Linked DNA regions of Anolis sagrei. The protein of the gene in region 2 purifies or fractionates together with the protein of the main gene of each other region. This does not show direct contact. Links are inferred from orthologs where the notes say so. Each region holds a gene or a part of one and is shown on either strand. Other genes may lie near its edges.

Region 1 (7,336 bases), on a different chromosome or scaffold from region 2:
CAACGCTCGGCAGCCATGATACTAACAGGAGCGGAGCGCAGGGAGCATACAACTCCTCTGTTGCACCAGCTCCACTGGCTGCCGATTTGCTACCGGGCTCAATTCAAAGTGCTGGCGTTGGCCTATAAAGCCCTAAACGGTTCGGGCCCAAGTTACCTATCCGAACGTATCTCTGCCTACAAACCCACCAGGACTCTAAGATCTTCTGGGGAGGCCCTGCTCTCGATCCCGCCTGCATCACAAGCACGGCTGGCGGGGACGAGGGACAGGGCCTTCTCTGTGGTGGCCCCTCGGCTGTGGAACGCTCTTCCCATGGACATTAGATCAGCTCCTACATTAATGGTGTTTCGAAGAAAACTAAAAACCTGGCTGTTTGAACAGGCATTCGGATAAACAGTGCAATGAATACGATGAATATAGGAACGGAATTATGGACGACGAATTGGATCATGATTCTAGCTACGAGATGTTAATGTGTTGTTATTGATGTGTCATCACTTTGTATACTATGCTGTTAATGGTTTTTAAATTGTATGTTGTTATGATTGTCTTTTGGCTCTTGTTGTGAACCGCGTTGAGTCGCCTACGGGCTGAGCAACTGCAGCATACAAGCAAAGTAAATAAATAAATAAATGTTTTTTTTTTCGTGTCAGGAGCAACCTGAGAAATTGCAAGTCGCTTCTGGTGTGAGAGAATTGGCCGTCTGCAAGGACGTTGCCCAGGGGACACCCGGATGATTTTGATGTTTTATCATCCTTGTGGGAGGCTTTTCTCATGTCCCCACATGAGGAGCTGACGCTGATATAGGGAGCTCATCCGCCTCTCCCCGGATTCGAACCTGCGACCTGTTGGTCTTTAGTCCTGGCAGCATTGCAAAGAAGTTATACAAAGACATTCCAGCCAATGCATGTTGGGCTTGACCGCTGATGGTTTATAACTTTAACTTTGTCTTTTCATTTGGAAAATAAAGTAATCTCTATGACCTTAACATTGTATTACACAACAGATGAAACATGTCTTTTCTAAAATATCTTCTGTCTTAGACTCTCATAAGCCATTGCAATGTGAAACAACTTGAAATCGCATTATTTGATCAGCTTAGACTTATATATAATGCAATGCCATGCAATGCAGCTTGAAATTGCATTATGTGTTCAGTGTGGATTCATATATAATGCAGTGCCATGGAATACAACTTGAAATGGCATTATATGGTCAGTGTAGATTCATATATAATGCAGTGCCATACAATGCAGCTTGAAATGGAATTATATAGTCAGCATAGACTCATATATAATGCAGTGCCATGCAATGCAGCTTGAAACAGAATTATATAGTCAGCGTAAACTCATATATAATGCAGTACCATATAATGCAGCTCGACAAGGCAGAGTGTGGACTCATATCTAAGCCAGTGCCATGTAATACAACTTGAAACAGCATTATATGGTCAGCATAGACTCATATATAATGCAATTCCATGCAATGTAGCTTGAAGCAGAATTATATGGTCAGTGTAGTCACATATAATGCAGAACGGCATTATATGAGTCTACCCTGATTGTATAATGCTGTTTCAAGTTGTATTATATGGCACTGGTCAATGTAGACTCATAATGCAGTGCCATGTAATACAACTTGAAATAACAGTATATGGTTGGTGTAGACTCATAATACAGTTTTGCAATATATGAGTCTACACTGAACATGTAATACTGATCAAGCTGCATTACATGGCAATGAAGATGGAGCCCTGAATGAATTTAATTGTTACAGTCACAGACCAAAAGTGTGAAACTTTAAAATTTTAAAAACAGTTTTTTTATTGTTAACACTAAGAACAAAAATTTACAACATTAAAAGTAGGAAGTCTGTGGGTAAAAAAATTAATAAAATAAAACTTTTTCTGCTAAAATAATCTGCTTCCTTATTTTTATAACTGCCGCACAAAACTTAGCCACGCTATAATGAGTGGTGGATCTCTATCCTCTAGGAGATGTTTTAGATAATAGTCTTTTAGAAAACAAGTCTAGAAAATCTCCTTCTCGGCTACAACATTTCTGAGTTGAATTCTGCCTTGGACATGGATCAGTGGCAATTAAGACCCTTTCTATGCAGCCATATAATCCAGATTATCAAAGCACATAATCCAGATTATCTGCTTTGAACTGGATTATATGTGTCTACACTGCCATGTAATGCAGTTCAAGGCAGATAACCTGGATTTTATATGGCAATGTAGAAGGGGCACTACTAGACTTAATGTTGGACACTACTAGAATTAATGTCAGGACAAACCTTTACCTTTACCTTTTATTTACTTATTTATTTCACATATTTGTATCCCGTCCTTCTCACCCCTGGAGGGGGACTCATGTCGGCTTCACAACCGGCATTTATTCAATGCCAACAACAGTAATAAGTGATAAAAGCAATTAAAACAGTTTGTTAATGCTTTAAATTTACTAAAAATTGTTTAAATCACACAGGTTGAAATCATAGTCCAGTTCAGTCCATTGTCATTCACACAAATTGGGACTCATTCTACATTGCTGCCTCTACGTGAATGAATTCCTATGCACACTGCACATATCTTATTTGTAGTACAAAAAAAATAATTAAAATGAAAAACAATTTTAATATAAACTTATTAGTATTTCAATGGGAAGTGTGGACCTGCTTTTGGTTGGTAAGATTGTTGTTGTTGTTGTTGTTGTCTGCTTTCAAGTCGTTTCAGACTTAGGTTGACCCTGAGCGAGGGCCAGGTAAATGACCTTGAAGGGCCGTATTCGGCCGTCGAGCCTTAGTTTGAGGACCCCTGATCTAGACACTATATTCCTATGGAGACATGCCAAAATCTCATTGGCTTTTTTTGCCCTCACATCACATTGTTGGCTCATAGAATCATACAGTTGGGAGAGACCTCATGGGCCACCCAGTCCAACCCCCTGACAAGCAGGTATATTGTATTCAAAGCACCCTTGACAGATGGCCATCCAGCCTCTGTTTAAAAGCTTCCAAAGAAGGAGCCTCCACCACAATCCGGGGCAGAGAGTTCCACTGCTGAACGGCTCTCACAGTCAGGAAGTGACTGTGTTCCTAATGTTCAGGTGGAATCTCCTTTCTTGTAGTTTGAAGCCAAGTCTCCAGGGCAGCAGAAAACAAGCCTGCTCCCTCCTCCCTATGGCTTTCCCTCACATATTTGCTGTCACATCAGCACTTTTAATCCTGTACCCATTACTCTGGCCCGGCCCAGTTTTATTGTGTCTTAGTGTCTTAGTTTATTGCTTGTTGTTTATATTGCTTTAATTGTTTTTAATTTGCCTTAGGTTTTGCATTGTTGCATTGTGTGTGGAGGCCTTGGCCTTGTAAGCCGCATCGAGTCCTTCAGGAGATGCTGTTGTTCATTCGTTCAGTCGTCTCCGACTCTTCGTGACCACATGGACCAGCCCACGACAGAGCTCCCTGTCGGCCGTCACCACCCCCAGCTCCTTCAAGGTCAGTCCAGTCACTTCAAGGATGCCATCCATCCATTTTGTCCTTGGTCGGCCCCTCTTCCTTTTTCCTTCCACTTTCCCCAGCATAATTGTCTTCTCTAGGCTTTGCTGTCTCCTCATGATGTGGCCAAAGTACTTCAACTTTGTCTCTAGAATCCTTCCCTCCAATGAGCAACCGGGCTTTATTTCCTGGAGGATTGACTGGCTGGATCTTCTCGCAGTCCAAGGCACTCTCAGCACTTTCCTCCAGCACCACAGCTCAAAAGCATCGATCTTCCTTCGCTCAGCCTTCCCTAAGGTCCAGCTCTCACATCCGTAGGTTACTACAGGGAAGACCATGGCTTTGACTAGGCGGAGATGCTAGCGGGGTACAAATAAAGTTTAATAATAATAATAATAATAACAATATTTATACATCACCATCATGTCTCCTCTCAGCCTTCTTTTCTTCAGGCTAAACATGCCCAGCTCTTCAAGCTGCTCCTCATAGGGCTTGTTCTCCAGACCCTTTCTCCTTTCTCATTTCATGTTTAACTTGTTGTCCACGAGGACTCCAAGATCTTTTTCACACGCACTGTTCTCGAGCCACGCGTCCCCCATTCTGTATCTTGACAGATATATCTTCATTTCTGCCAGGGATCTGCTGTATAATGGGAGTAATACAAAACAGAGATGGAGCCCTGCTTTCAGTGAACTAGTGAGGAAGGCATGCCTTGCAACGCCTCCCCACTGCCGCTAGGGGTCAGTCACGCAGAAAGGGTGTGTGGAAGAGGAAGGCGGGGCGCGTTGGATCCTCGGAGGACATTCGCCGCGTCGCGATTGGCGGAGCCGCTTGCCCATCAAAGGCGCGGGAGGCGGGAGGAAAGAAAGGGGGATGTCGATGGAGAGCGCGTCTCCTGCCTGGGGTCGCTGAGGGGAGTCTGGAGCCTCCGTTTGGGCCTCGGCTTCCGTGGAGGGGGCTGAGGCGGGCGTGCTTCCTCCCTCCTTCGCTCCTTCCCTCATGGAGACCTCAGCGACCGCCTCTGCCACCTCGGGCCCCACGCCGGGCCCTTTCCCCCCGCTCTTCCCGCCGGGGCTGCACGGGATCTATGGAGAGTGCCGGCGCCTCTACCCGGAGCAGCCCAACCCGCTGCAGGTCACCGCCATCCTCAAGTACTGGTGAGTCAGGCCTCGGGAAGGGGCAGACAAAGGCCCGAGGGGCCTCCACAGGCGCCCCCTTCGCTCAGGCTGCGTCTGGGCCAGCCTGGGCCCTCGAGGTGTTTTGGACTCCAACTCCCACCATTCCTAACAGCCTCAGGCCCTTTCCTTTCACCCCTCAGCCGCTTAAGCGGCAGAGGGGTGAAAGGAAGGGGCCTGAGGCTGTTAGGAATGGTGGGAGTTGGAGTCCAAAACACCTCAAGGGCCCAGGCTGGCCCATGCTTACTTTACACTATAGAATGAATGAGGTTTGACACCACTTGACCTGTATTTTCTGTTGGTCATGGAGGTTTCTGTATAGGAAGTTTGGCCCAATTCTATCCAGGTGAACTATAAATCCCAGCAACTACAACTCCCAAATGTCAAGCTCTATTCCCCCCAAACTCCACCAGTGTTCACATTTCACATATTGAGTATTCGTGCCAAGTTTGGTCCAGATCCATCATTGTTTGAGTCCAAAATACTCTCTGGATGGAGGTGATCTACAACTCCGAAACTCAAGTGTCCACCAAATCCTTCAAGTATTTTCTGTTGGTTGTGGGAGTTCTGTGTGCCAAGTTTGGTTCAATCCCTTCATTCAATTGGTTCAATTCCATCCTCTTCGATTGTAGTTTAACCACAAAGTGCTGGTTTTTACCTATAAAGCTCTTTATGGTTCTGGATCAGCTTAGTTGTCCGAACGCATCTGCCTCTACGTCCCACCTCGTAACTCATCCAGGGAGGCCCTGCTCTCCTTCCAGCCAACATCGCAAACATGGACAAGAGACAGGGCCTTCTCGGCTGTAGCCCCCTGCCTGTGGAACGCTCTTCCAAATGAAATAGGATCGACTCCATCCCTCCTGGCGTTCAGGAAAAAATTAAAATCTTGTTTTTGGGACTAGGCTTTCGGACAATAAACATAAAGCAGCACTTTGACTGGAAATGGATTGGTAAGGCCATATGTATGAGGATATGGTTTTATGGTTCTATCAGTGGGTTCATGGACTGAGTATTGTTTTAATGACTTATGATAATTTGGTTATAATTAACTGCTATTGTTTTAACTCTGTATGTATTTGTGGTTTTATACTGTGTTATTGATTGTGGCATCAAATTGCTGCCTTTGTTAGCTGCTCTGAGTCCCTCCCCCCCCCCCCCGGGGTTGAGAAAGGTGGGGTAAAAATGCAGTAAATAAATAAATAAAATAAACAAACTATAAGTCCTAGCAACAACAACTTGCAGGTGACATAATCAATGCCCCCCCTCCCCCAACCTCACCAGTATTCGAATTTGGGCATGCCAGGTATGAGTGCCAAATTTGATCCAGTGAATGTAAATACATCCTGCATATCGGATACTTACATTACGATTCATAACACTAGCAAAATTACAGTTATGAAAGTACCAACGAAAATAATTTCAGTCGTGGGATCACCGCAATATGAGGAACTGTATTAAGGGGTCGTGGTGTTAGGAAGGTTGAAAAACACTGGTGTAGATGCACACTTGGATTTCTAAAGTGACCAAAAGTTGTTTTCTATTTATGGGAGGGAGGATCTTTTGGAAAGCTCGAGGAAGTGCTTTGAATTCATGGCTGCTGGTGGTGTTTGATTGGGAGGGGGTTGTTTTGATGGAGACATTGAGGGGTTTGAGGATAGAGGGGTCAGCAAGAAAGCTTACATACTTATATTTCTTCTTACATATTGTTGTCCACATTGCTCCCCCCCCCCCCCGATGGTTAAACTGCTGAGCTGCTGAACTTGCAGACCGAAAGGTTGGTGGTTTGAATCCGAGGAGTGGGGTGAGCTCCCACTATTAGTCCCAGCTTCTGCCAACCTAACCGTTTGAAAACATGCAAATGTGAGTAGATCAATGGACTGCTTCTGCAGGAAGGTAACGACACTCCATGCAGTCATGTCAGCCACATGACCTAGGAGGTGTCAGTGGACAACGCCGGCTCTTCAACTGAGAAATTGAGATGAGCACCAATCCTCAGAGTTGGACACGACTGGACTTAATGTCAGGGGAAAACCTTTACCTTTGCATATTGTTGTCTGTATGTGGCATTTGAAGTGCTTCTGTGAGCTGCCCCAAGTCCCTTTGGGGAGATATTGGCAATTAGATTTTCTACTTTTATATTTTATACAGATTTTAGTTGCTGAATGTGTTTTTTAGGAGGCTTGATTGATAAGAAGTTTTAGTTAATGTTGTTTTATTTGTGTATTTTTAATCTGTTCATTTTAATTGGTTTGTCAGTTTGTTTTATCTTGTTACTGCACATTTATGTATTTATTTATTTACCATATTTATACCCTGCCCTTCTTAACCCAGAGGGGACTCAATGTGACTTACATATAGGCAACTATTAAGTGCCTTAGAGCAGCATACAATGAAAATAAAAATTTAAGATTGAAATTAATACACATTAAACAGGTAAAAACATTACATCCATTACGAAAACCACGCCATCCACAATTGTAATCTGGGACTATCCAGTAGTCTTTCTGTAAAGACTTTCTGTATATTTATGTCTTTATTTTGCATATTTCTATCCCATCCTTCTCACCCAGAAGGGGGGACTCAGGGTGGCTTGCAACAGGCAACCATTTCATGCCATCAAACAGATTCATAAATAACAATTGCAATTAAAACAGTAATTAAAA
Region 2 (7,798 bases):
CATTGGCTGCCCATCTCTGGAAAGTTTCCAGGAAAGAAAGTTTCCAGAAAACCAATGGGCACAGATTTCATGCTGGTCCCTAGCACTTTGGGGGAAAATAATTACCAGTCCACTCACATCAGAAGCACAATCAGATTCCTTACTGAGTGAGACCTTTACCTCTGTAGTGCACCTGCATACATAGCTCTGAAGGGGTGTGTTGCTAGAAAAAATGAATGCTGGTTGCTTGCACTTTGGGAAAAAATTAATTGCCAATTCCCTCACATTAGAAACATTGTCACAGAGTATGAGGAACAAGATCCCTGCAGGTCCTTAACACCCTACTGAATGAAACATATCGTAAAGGTAAACATTTCCCCTTGACATCAAGTGTATTTGAGTCTGACTCTGGGTTGCATAACTCATCTCCATTTCTAAGCTGATGAGCTGGCATTGTCCATAGACGCCTCCTAGGTCATGTGGCCAGCATGATTGCATGGAGCGTTGTTACTGAGCGGTACCTACTGATCTACTCATATTTGCATGTTTTTGAACTGCTCAGTTGGCAGAAGCTGGGCCTAACAGCAGGAGCTCACCCTGCTCCACAGATCCAAACTGCCAACTTTTCATTCAGCAAGTTGAGCAGCTCAGCAGTTTAACCCACTGTGCCACTGGGGGCTTGAATACATACCTAAACCCCTACTGAATTAAACATATACTTCTGTATTTTCCTTGTATTTTTATTTAATCTTTGGGGGCATGGCAAAGACTTGCTAGGAAGAAGGGGGCGCTTTGCAACTTCAGTTTCAAACTTTGAGGAACTCTGCAGAGCACAACAGGCATGGATAACAGCAACATCAACATCTGTAGAACAGAGCAGGGTGAAAACAAACCAACCCTTTTGCAGGGAGACTGAGGTTCAACCAAGGATGGGGAGAGCGTTTGGAGGCAAGAGGTATGGTGGAGGGGGAGATCTGGTAAACCCCCCCCCCCTTTCGAGTTGCAAATGTTTCCAAACCTTTGGCTTGGGAAGAGGAGTGGAAGGAAGCCCCTGGCCCTCCCGACCCTTAATAGGCCTGGCGCCCGGCTCCCTCCGTGTCTCTCCCCATCACACCGGCATCAAGTTGCAGCGGCGGATTTTTGAAATTCCTTCGCAAACAGACTTGACGAAAGATCGCAAGGAGAAAAAAAAGGGGGGGGGGGGGGTAGGGAAGATTTTGGAGAGGCGAAAACGCCGCCCAAGCCGACGAGATGAATCAGCCTCCCAAACAAACACCAAACTTCCAGGCCACTTCCCTCCAGGAGGGTCTGAAGCCCCTCACTCCGAAGGAAGGAGACTCTTCTGCGTTGCCTCAACACACTGGTCCGACTCAGCAGCAGACCCGGTCGCCACAGGCGCGATCCGAAAGGCGTCCCACTGGTTTCAGCCGGGAAGGGGGGGGGGGGGAATCAGGCTGGATTCCTCCTCCTTCTCCTCGCCTCCGATTCTGGAGGAAACAAGCAAAGAGAGGCAAGGGAGCCGCTCGAGGCCCAATGGACCACAACCACCACCAAAGGGAAGGAGGAGGAGGAGGAGGAGGAGGAGGCACCCGCTCCAAGGCGGAGTTTGCCAAGCACAGAGGAACGGGGGAGCCGCGTGGCTCGTCCCGACCCAAAGCCCAACCGGACCCCGAGTAGCAACCTGCTCCCCGAGTTGGAAAAGTTCTCCCCAACTTTCCCCAAGAGAGAGAGGCAAGAGGGCTCTTGGTCTTGACGCGGGACGCAGCTCTCCAACTTTTCTCCTTAAGACACCCGCGAAGGGGGAAACGAGGCAGGCGGGAAAAAGCCCCCCCCCCCCCCGCCGCCGCTATTTAAAGAAAGGGGGTGGCTTCCCAGGCGCCTCAAGGGGAAGCCCGAAGCACCCGCGGGAAGGGAAAGGGAGGAGACCTCGTCACACTGAGTCCTGGGATCACATGCCCTAAGACCTCCTCACACCAGAGAATGAATCCACTTCAAATGGGGTTTCAGCCTTCTGCGGAATTCCGGGGCTTGTAGTTTAGGGAGGAGCTTTTCACAGGCTCACAGAACAACAAACCCCAGAATTCTGCAGGAGGCAGAAACCCCCTTTAAAGTGGATTCATTCTATGTAGTGAAACTTCCTCTCAAACTGGTTCCAAACTGTATGATGATGATGATGGGCCTCATCACAAGAGAGGAAAAATCCACTTAAAATCCAGTTTCTGCCTCCTGCAGAATTCTGGGGTTTGTAGTTTAAGAAGGAGTCGTTAACAGCCTCCCTAAACTACAAACCTCCGAATTTTGCAGGAGGCAGAAACCGGATTTAAAGCGGATTCATTCTCTAGTGTGATGAGTTGATAGAGGGAGGAAGAAGGGACTCGGAAAGTGAGGAAGAAGAGGCTTGAAAGCGGGGAAGAGGCTGGGAGAGAAGGAGGAAGGGGATTGAGAAAGGAGGGAAGAAGAAGGAAGGAACCGGGGGAGGGGGGAAAGGGAGGCACAACTTTACCCGAAGAGAAGTTTTCAGGCGGGCAGCGTCTCCCGGGCAGGGCCAGGCGTGCGGCTCCCCATCGCCCGCTGCTTCCCGCTCGCTTCCCGCCCCTCTTTTTCTCTCCAAAGCCCTCCTTCCCGGGATGGAGGCGCTGCCAGGCCCGTCCGGGACGCAGCGAGGGGACTTTAGCAAAGTCTGGGGCGCCGCCGCTGCTGCTGCTGCTGCCTCCTCCTCCTCCTGCTGCTGCTGCTCTCCTTGCTGCTCTGCTGGCGCGCGGCTGCCCTCCTGCCATCCATCATCTTCCTGGGCAGGACAGCCGCACGCGCGGCGAGGCGGAGGGAGGCGGGCAGGCGGAGAAGGGAGGGCAAGGGAAGGGAAGGGGAGAGGAAGGGAAGGGAAGAGAGAGCGAGGGAAGAAAGTTTCAGAAACACGCCCCCCTCTTGGGATCGGGGAGCGGGAGAGACCGAGCGGGGACCAAACTTTTCTCCCCCTCGCTTCTCCTTCTTTCTTTCTTTCTCTCTCTCTTCCGCACTTTGGGGCTTTCAAGTCAGATGATCTCCGGAGCTCAAACCCATTGCCTGCTCTGTCTTGCTCCTCTTCCCCGCCTCCTCCTCCTCCTCCTCCTCCTCCTCCTCCTCCTCCTCCTCCTCCTCCTCCTCCTCCTCCTCCTCCTCCTCCTCCTCCTCCCCGCCCCTGGAGCCCCTGCCAGAGAGGCTTTTTTTTCCGTGTCAGGAGCAACTTTTGTGTCAGGAGCGACTTGAGAAACTGCAAGAGAATTGGCCGTCTGCAAGCACGTTGCCCAGGGGATGCCCAGATGTTTTGATGTTTTACTATCCTTGTAGAGGCGTCTCTCATGTCCCCATATGGTTGAGAAACTGCAAGTCACTTCTGGTATGAGAGAATTGGCCGTCTGCAGGGACGTTGCTCAGGGGATGCCCAGATGTTTTGATGTTTTACCACCCTTGTGGGAGGCTTCTCTTATGTCACCGCATGGTTGGGAAACTGTAAGTCACTTCTGAGGTGAGAGAACTGGCCATCCGCAAGGATGTTGCCCAGGGGATGCCCAGATATTTTGATGTTTTACTATCCTTGTGAGAGGCTTCTTACATGTCCCCACATGGTTGAGAAATTGCAAGTCACTTCTGGTGTAAGAGAAATGGCCATCTGCAGGGACGTTGCCCAGGGGACACCATGATGTTTTACCATCCTTGTGGGAGGCTTCTCATATGTCCCCACATGGGTAAGAAACTGAAAGTCACTTCTGGTGTGAGAGAATTGGCAGTCTGCAAGGACATTGCCCAGGGGACGCCCGGATTTTTTGATGTTTTACCATCTTTTGGGGGGGCTTCTCTCATGTCCCCGCATGGAGAGCTGGAGCTGACAGAGGGAGCTCATCCGTGCTCTCCCCAGGTTCGGTCCTCCGACCTGTCAGTCTTCAGTCTTGCACAATGGAGGCTCCTGCCAGAGAGGCTGCCCTCGCATCACAGACCTGGGCAGGAGGAGGAAGAAGCCCCGGGGAAGCGTGGCCCTCTCTGTCCTCCACTGGGCCTCCCCAGACCCTCGCCCCATTTGCACCCTCCTGGAGTCCCAGAAGACCCCAGAAGTGCATCTCTTCTCTAGAATGGATGCAGTATAACACCCCTTGGAGCCCCATGGCTCCTTGCTGTGGAATCCTGGGATCCATGGTGTGGTGAGGCACCTACACTTGCTGAGGAAGGCTACAGGCCCTGTAAAGCAAAAATGCCCAGAACTCCCTGGCACTTCAACTGCACTTATCCTACAGTGAGGACTAGGGATGCTACACTCATTTGCACTGAGAGCCGCATCAGCCTTATGTTTGTCTACAAATTGCCTTGATTCCATGGAGAATCCATGGATATAGAGGGACAACTCCCCTATTAAGTCAGCTCCACTGGCTGCCAAACACAATTTAAAGCCCTAAACTAATGGTTCCCAACCTGTGGTCTGTAGACCACTGGTGGTGCGCAAGAACTAAAATATGATCTGCGGCCTCCACCATTGCAATGAGAACAACTGGTCTTGCAAAACCGTCTTATAATGCTGAGGCTTATTAAATATGGTTTTCTGTGGGCATCAGATGGCAACTACTGGATGGCATATGTTCTGTATCAGAAACTAGAGCTGTTGTCATCTATCCAATGCAATTTTCTGAATCAACACCCCAAATAACCAAACTAAATCTAAAGTTGACCAAAAACTGATTTGTAACCCTTTTGGTACTAATGCTAGAGAGTTTTCCCTGGTCAAAGTAGTCCCTGGTCAAGTGGTCCCTGGTCAAAAAAAATGGGAACCACTGCCCTAAATGGTTCTGGCCCAATTTACCTATACAAATGTATCTCCCCCTATGAACCATCTCAGAGATTAAGATCTTATGGGGAGGCCCTGCTCTTGGTCCCACCTTCTTCTCAAGTGTGACTGGTGGGGACAAGAGAGAGGGTCTTCTCAGTGGTGGCCTCTCGGTTGTGGAACTCCCTCCCCAGTGCCATTAGATCAGCCCCCTCCCCCCTAGCCTTCAGAAGGAGAGTGAAAACCTGGCTCTGGGACCAGAACTTCATAGAAGCAGTGCAATAATATAACTGGAATATGTGCTATGACTATAGAACAGCTTCAGACTACGATTTTTGGATGGCATGATTTTAATACTGAATGTAATTTTTAAATTTTTATATATATTAATTTTAATTCAATGGATTTCAAGCTTAATGTTATATGTGTTTAAGGCATTGAATAATTGGCATATGTAAGCCACCTTGAGTGCCCCTTGGGGTAGAGAAAAGTGAGATATAAATAGGGTAAATAAAATACAATAAAATAAAATAAACTATTTTTTACATAGTGGCCAGTGCTCTTATATAGTTGGGGTTTTTTTTTTATCATGTCAGGAGCGACTTGAGAAACTGCAAGTCACTTCTGGTGTGAGAGAATTGGGCATCTGCAAGAATGTGTTACCATCCTGTGAGAGGCTTCTCTCATGTCCCTGCATAGAAACTGGAACTGACAGAAGGAAGCGCCGTCCCACAGATTCAAACTGATGACCTTCAGCAGTCCTGCTGGCACAGGGGTTTAACCCAGTGGTTCTCAACCTGTGAGTCCCCGCGTGTTTTGGCCTTCAACTCCCAGAAATCCTAACAGCTGGTAAACGGGCTGGGATTTCTTGGAGTTGTAGGCCAAAACACCTGGAGACCCACAGGTTGAGAACCACTGATTTAACCCATTGCACCACCATGGCTCCTCACTTATATAGTGGTCAGGTTTTACCCAGTTTGGATCTCCAGATGTTATCGATTGACAACTGCAATCACTTTTGATTATCCCCCATGCAGATTGGGGGTAATGGAAATTGCAACTCAGCAACACTTGTGGCTCTGAGGTTGGGGAAAAATTGAATGACATTTTAAAGTCAGACATCCTATCCACAAGCCTTGTATCTAAATTCAAACATCACTATCCTGACTAAATAGAACAAACTGCAGCCTTCCAGATGTTGCTGCATCACAACTCCCATTGGTTCCAGTCATGACGTCTAATGATGAGGAATACAGGAGTTGTAGTCCAGCATCCAGAGGACTCCATAAAATGACATGGTAGGCCGAATTTGCCCTGTGAGTCTTGAGTCTGAGACATGTGGTGTAGACGCACACCAGAAGTCCCCAGCTAGTGAGGGAGGATGCCTACGAGAACGTTTCCAAGCCCCAAGAGACCAAACTGCAAGCTCCCATGACTCAAAGCAAGGGCGTAGGACCTAAAACAACTTTCCACCCCATTAGAGTGTTTAGAAGGGGCAGAAAAACTTGCCCTGGAGAGAAACAACACTGACATGCCTCCATTAACAAAGCCTCTGTCACAGCAGCTCTTTTTAACAGTCTTTTTACAGAAGCCCAACCCAGCCTCCCCACTTTTCCTGTCTATTATTTAGGTGGAAGTTTATTTAAATGGTTTGTTTGCATCATTATTATTTGGATGATGGCGAAGAAGGGCTGGAGAATGCAGCTTGTCTCCAATTAACACCACAATACATTTGGAACTAGGAAAGAAGGGGAACCTCCTTTAGATGCTTCTAATTTAGCCTTGTGTGCTTCCATGCAACAGGCTGCCTTGAGAAATACCTCCTGAGCAAGTATGAAAAGCAACATAGAAAGAAAATGGGGAAGGAGTTTTGTCTAGTAATTTTGGCATGTTGGAATTCAAGTTTCCAGACCTCAACAAGAATTTAGCTTAGAATAGGCTGAAAGATTCCCTTTCCCCATGTCTCCTGTATGACAGTTGGAATTTATCTAATTTCTTCTCTTCTCTCTGTTTCTGCTCTAATTCTGATTGGTTGTGTAGAATGGATACTTTTCTACTGCAAGACTTAAAAAACGGATTTCTACTTTTTCATCTGTGTATGTTGTGTGTTTTGAGATATCTCTCTCTGCATGTCAGGAGAGATGTAGTGATTGTTGTTTTTTACCTCTCTTTGAAACTTTAGAAGAGACGAGTATAGCATCGCTCAGACCCAGTCCTTTATTATTAAGCATTGCAGTTATTATTATTATTGTAAATAAACCTTTTGTGATTTTTAAGATTAGATTTTTAAGATCTTTGCCTGCCTAAGCTCTGAATTCTTTACAGCCACAACCAATGGCACTTCATGCTCTGCCTACTATGAGCTCATGCTCAACTATTGGTATCCTGTTTGTATTTTGGATGCTCTGCTTATTTTGGGGTAGTTTTCCCTAACAGAAAAAGCATAGATGTATAAGTTTTGCCACCAAAATATAAATTGTAAAAAAAGTGGAGGCTGTGAGACTCATGAGTCAGAAACTCATCGAACCAGTCTCAATCGAACCAACACATCACACCAGAAACTTCAACTCCATGGAAATACGTACATGAACCAATTCACTACCATTTACTTAAGGGAAGAGGAAAGATAGCTAACAACTTATTAGACCAGATAGTTCTCAAGAAAGTGAGCTTTGATTTGAATGTGTGGACATACCACAGACAAGTGTCCAGTTCTGGGCACCACAATCGAAGTGAGATGTTGACAAACTGGAATGTGTCCAGAAGAGGGTGACTAAAATGATCAAGGGTCTGGAGAACAAACCCTATGAGGAGCTGGGCATGTTTAGCCTGCAGAAGAGGAGGCTGAGAGGAGACATGATGAGGGCCACATATAAATATGTGAAGGAAAGTCATAGAGAGGAGGGAGCAAGCTTGTTTTCTGCTGCCCTGGAGACTAGGACGTGGAACAATGGCTTCAAACTACAGGAAATGACAGTTCACCTGAACATTAGGAAGAACTTCCTGATTGTGAGGGCTGTTCAGCAG

What was found.
Region 1: the proteins of GLI2 (region 2) and SUFU purify together in Homo sapiens (affinity purification with mass spectrometry; 3 studies listed by BioGRID and IntAct, with this or other methods). This does not show direct contact. The link is inferred for Anolis sagrei from reciprocal best matches to the Homo sapiens genes GLI2 and SUFU.

What each region holds. Positions count from the first base shown.
Region 1 is NC_090023.1:215,058,295-215,065,630, reverse strand, and holds the start of SUFU (suppressor of fused homolog), read left to right. Parts: upstream 1-4,326; 5' UTR 4,327-4,497; coding exon 4,498-4,655; intron 4,656-7,336. UniProt on the Homo sapiens protein: Negative regulator in the hedgehog/smoothened signaling pathway. Down-regulates GLI1-mediated transactivation of target genes. Down-regulates GLI2-mediated transactivation of target genes. Part of a corepressor complex that acts on DNA-bound GLI1.
Region 2 is NC_090021.1:222,854,506-222,862,303, forward strand, and holds the start of GLI2 (zinc finger protein GLI2), read right to left. Parts: upstream 3,057-7,798; 5' UTR 2,483-3,056; intron 1-2,482. UniProt on the Homo sapiens protein: Functions as a transcription regulator in the hedgehog (Hh) pathway. Functions as a transcriptional activator. May also function as transcriptional repressor. Requires STK36 for full transcriptional activator activity.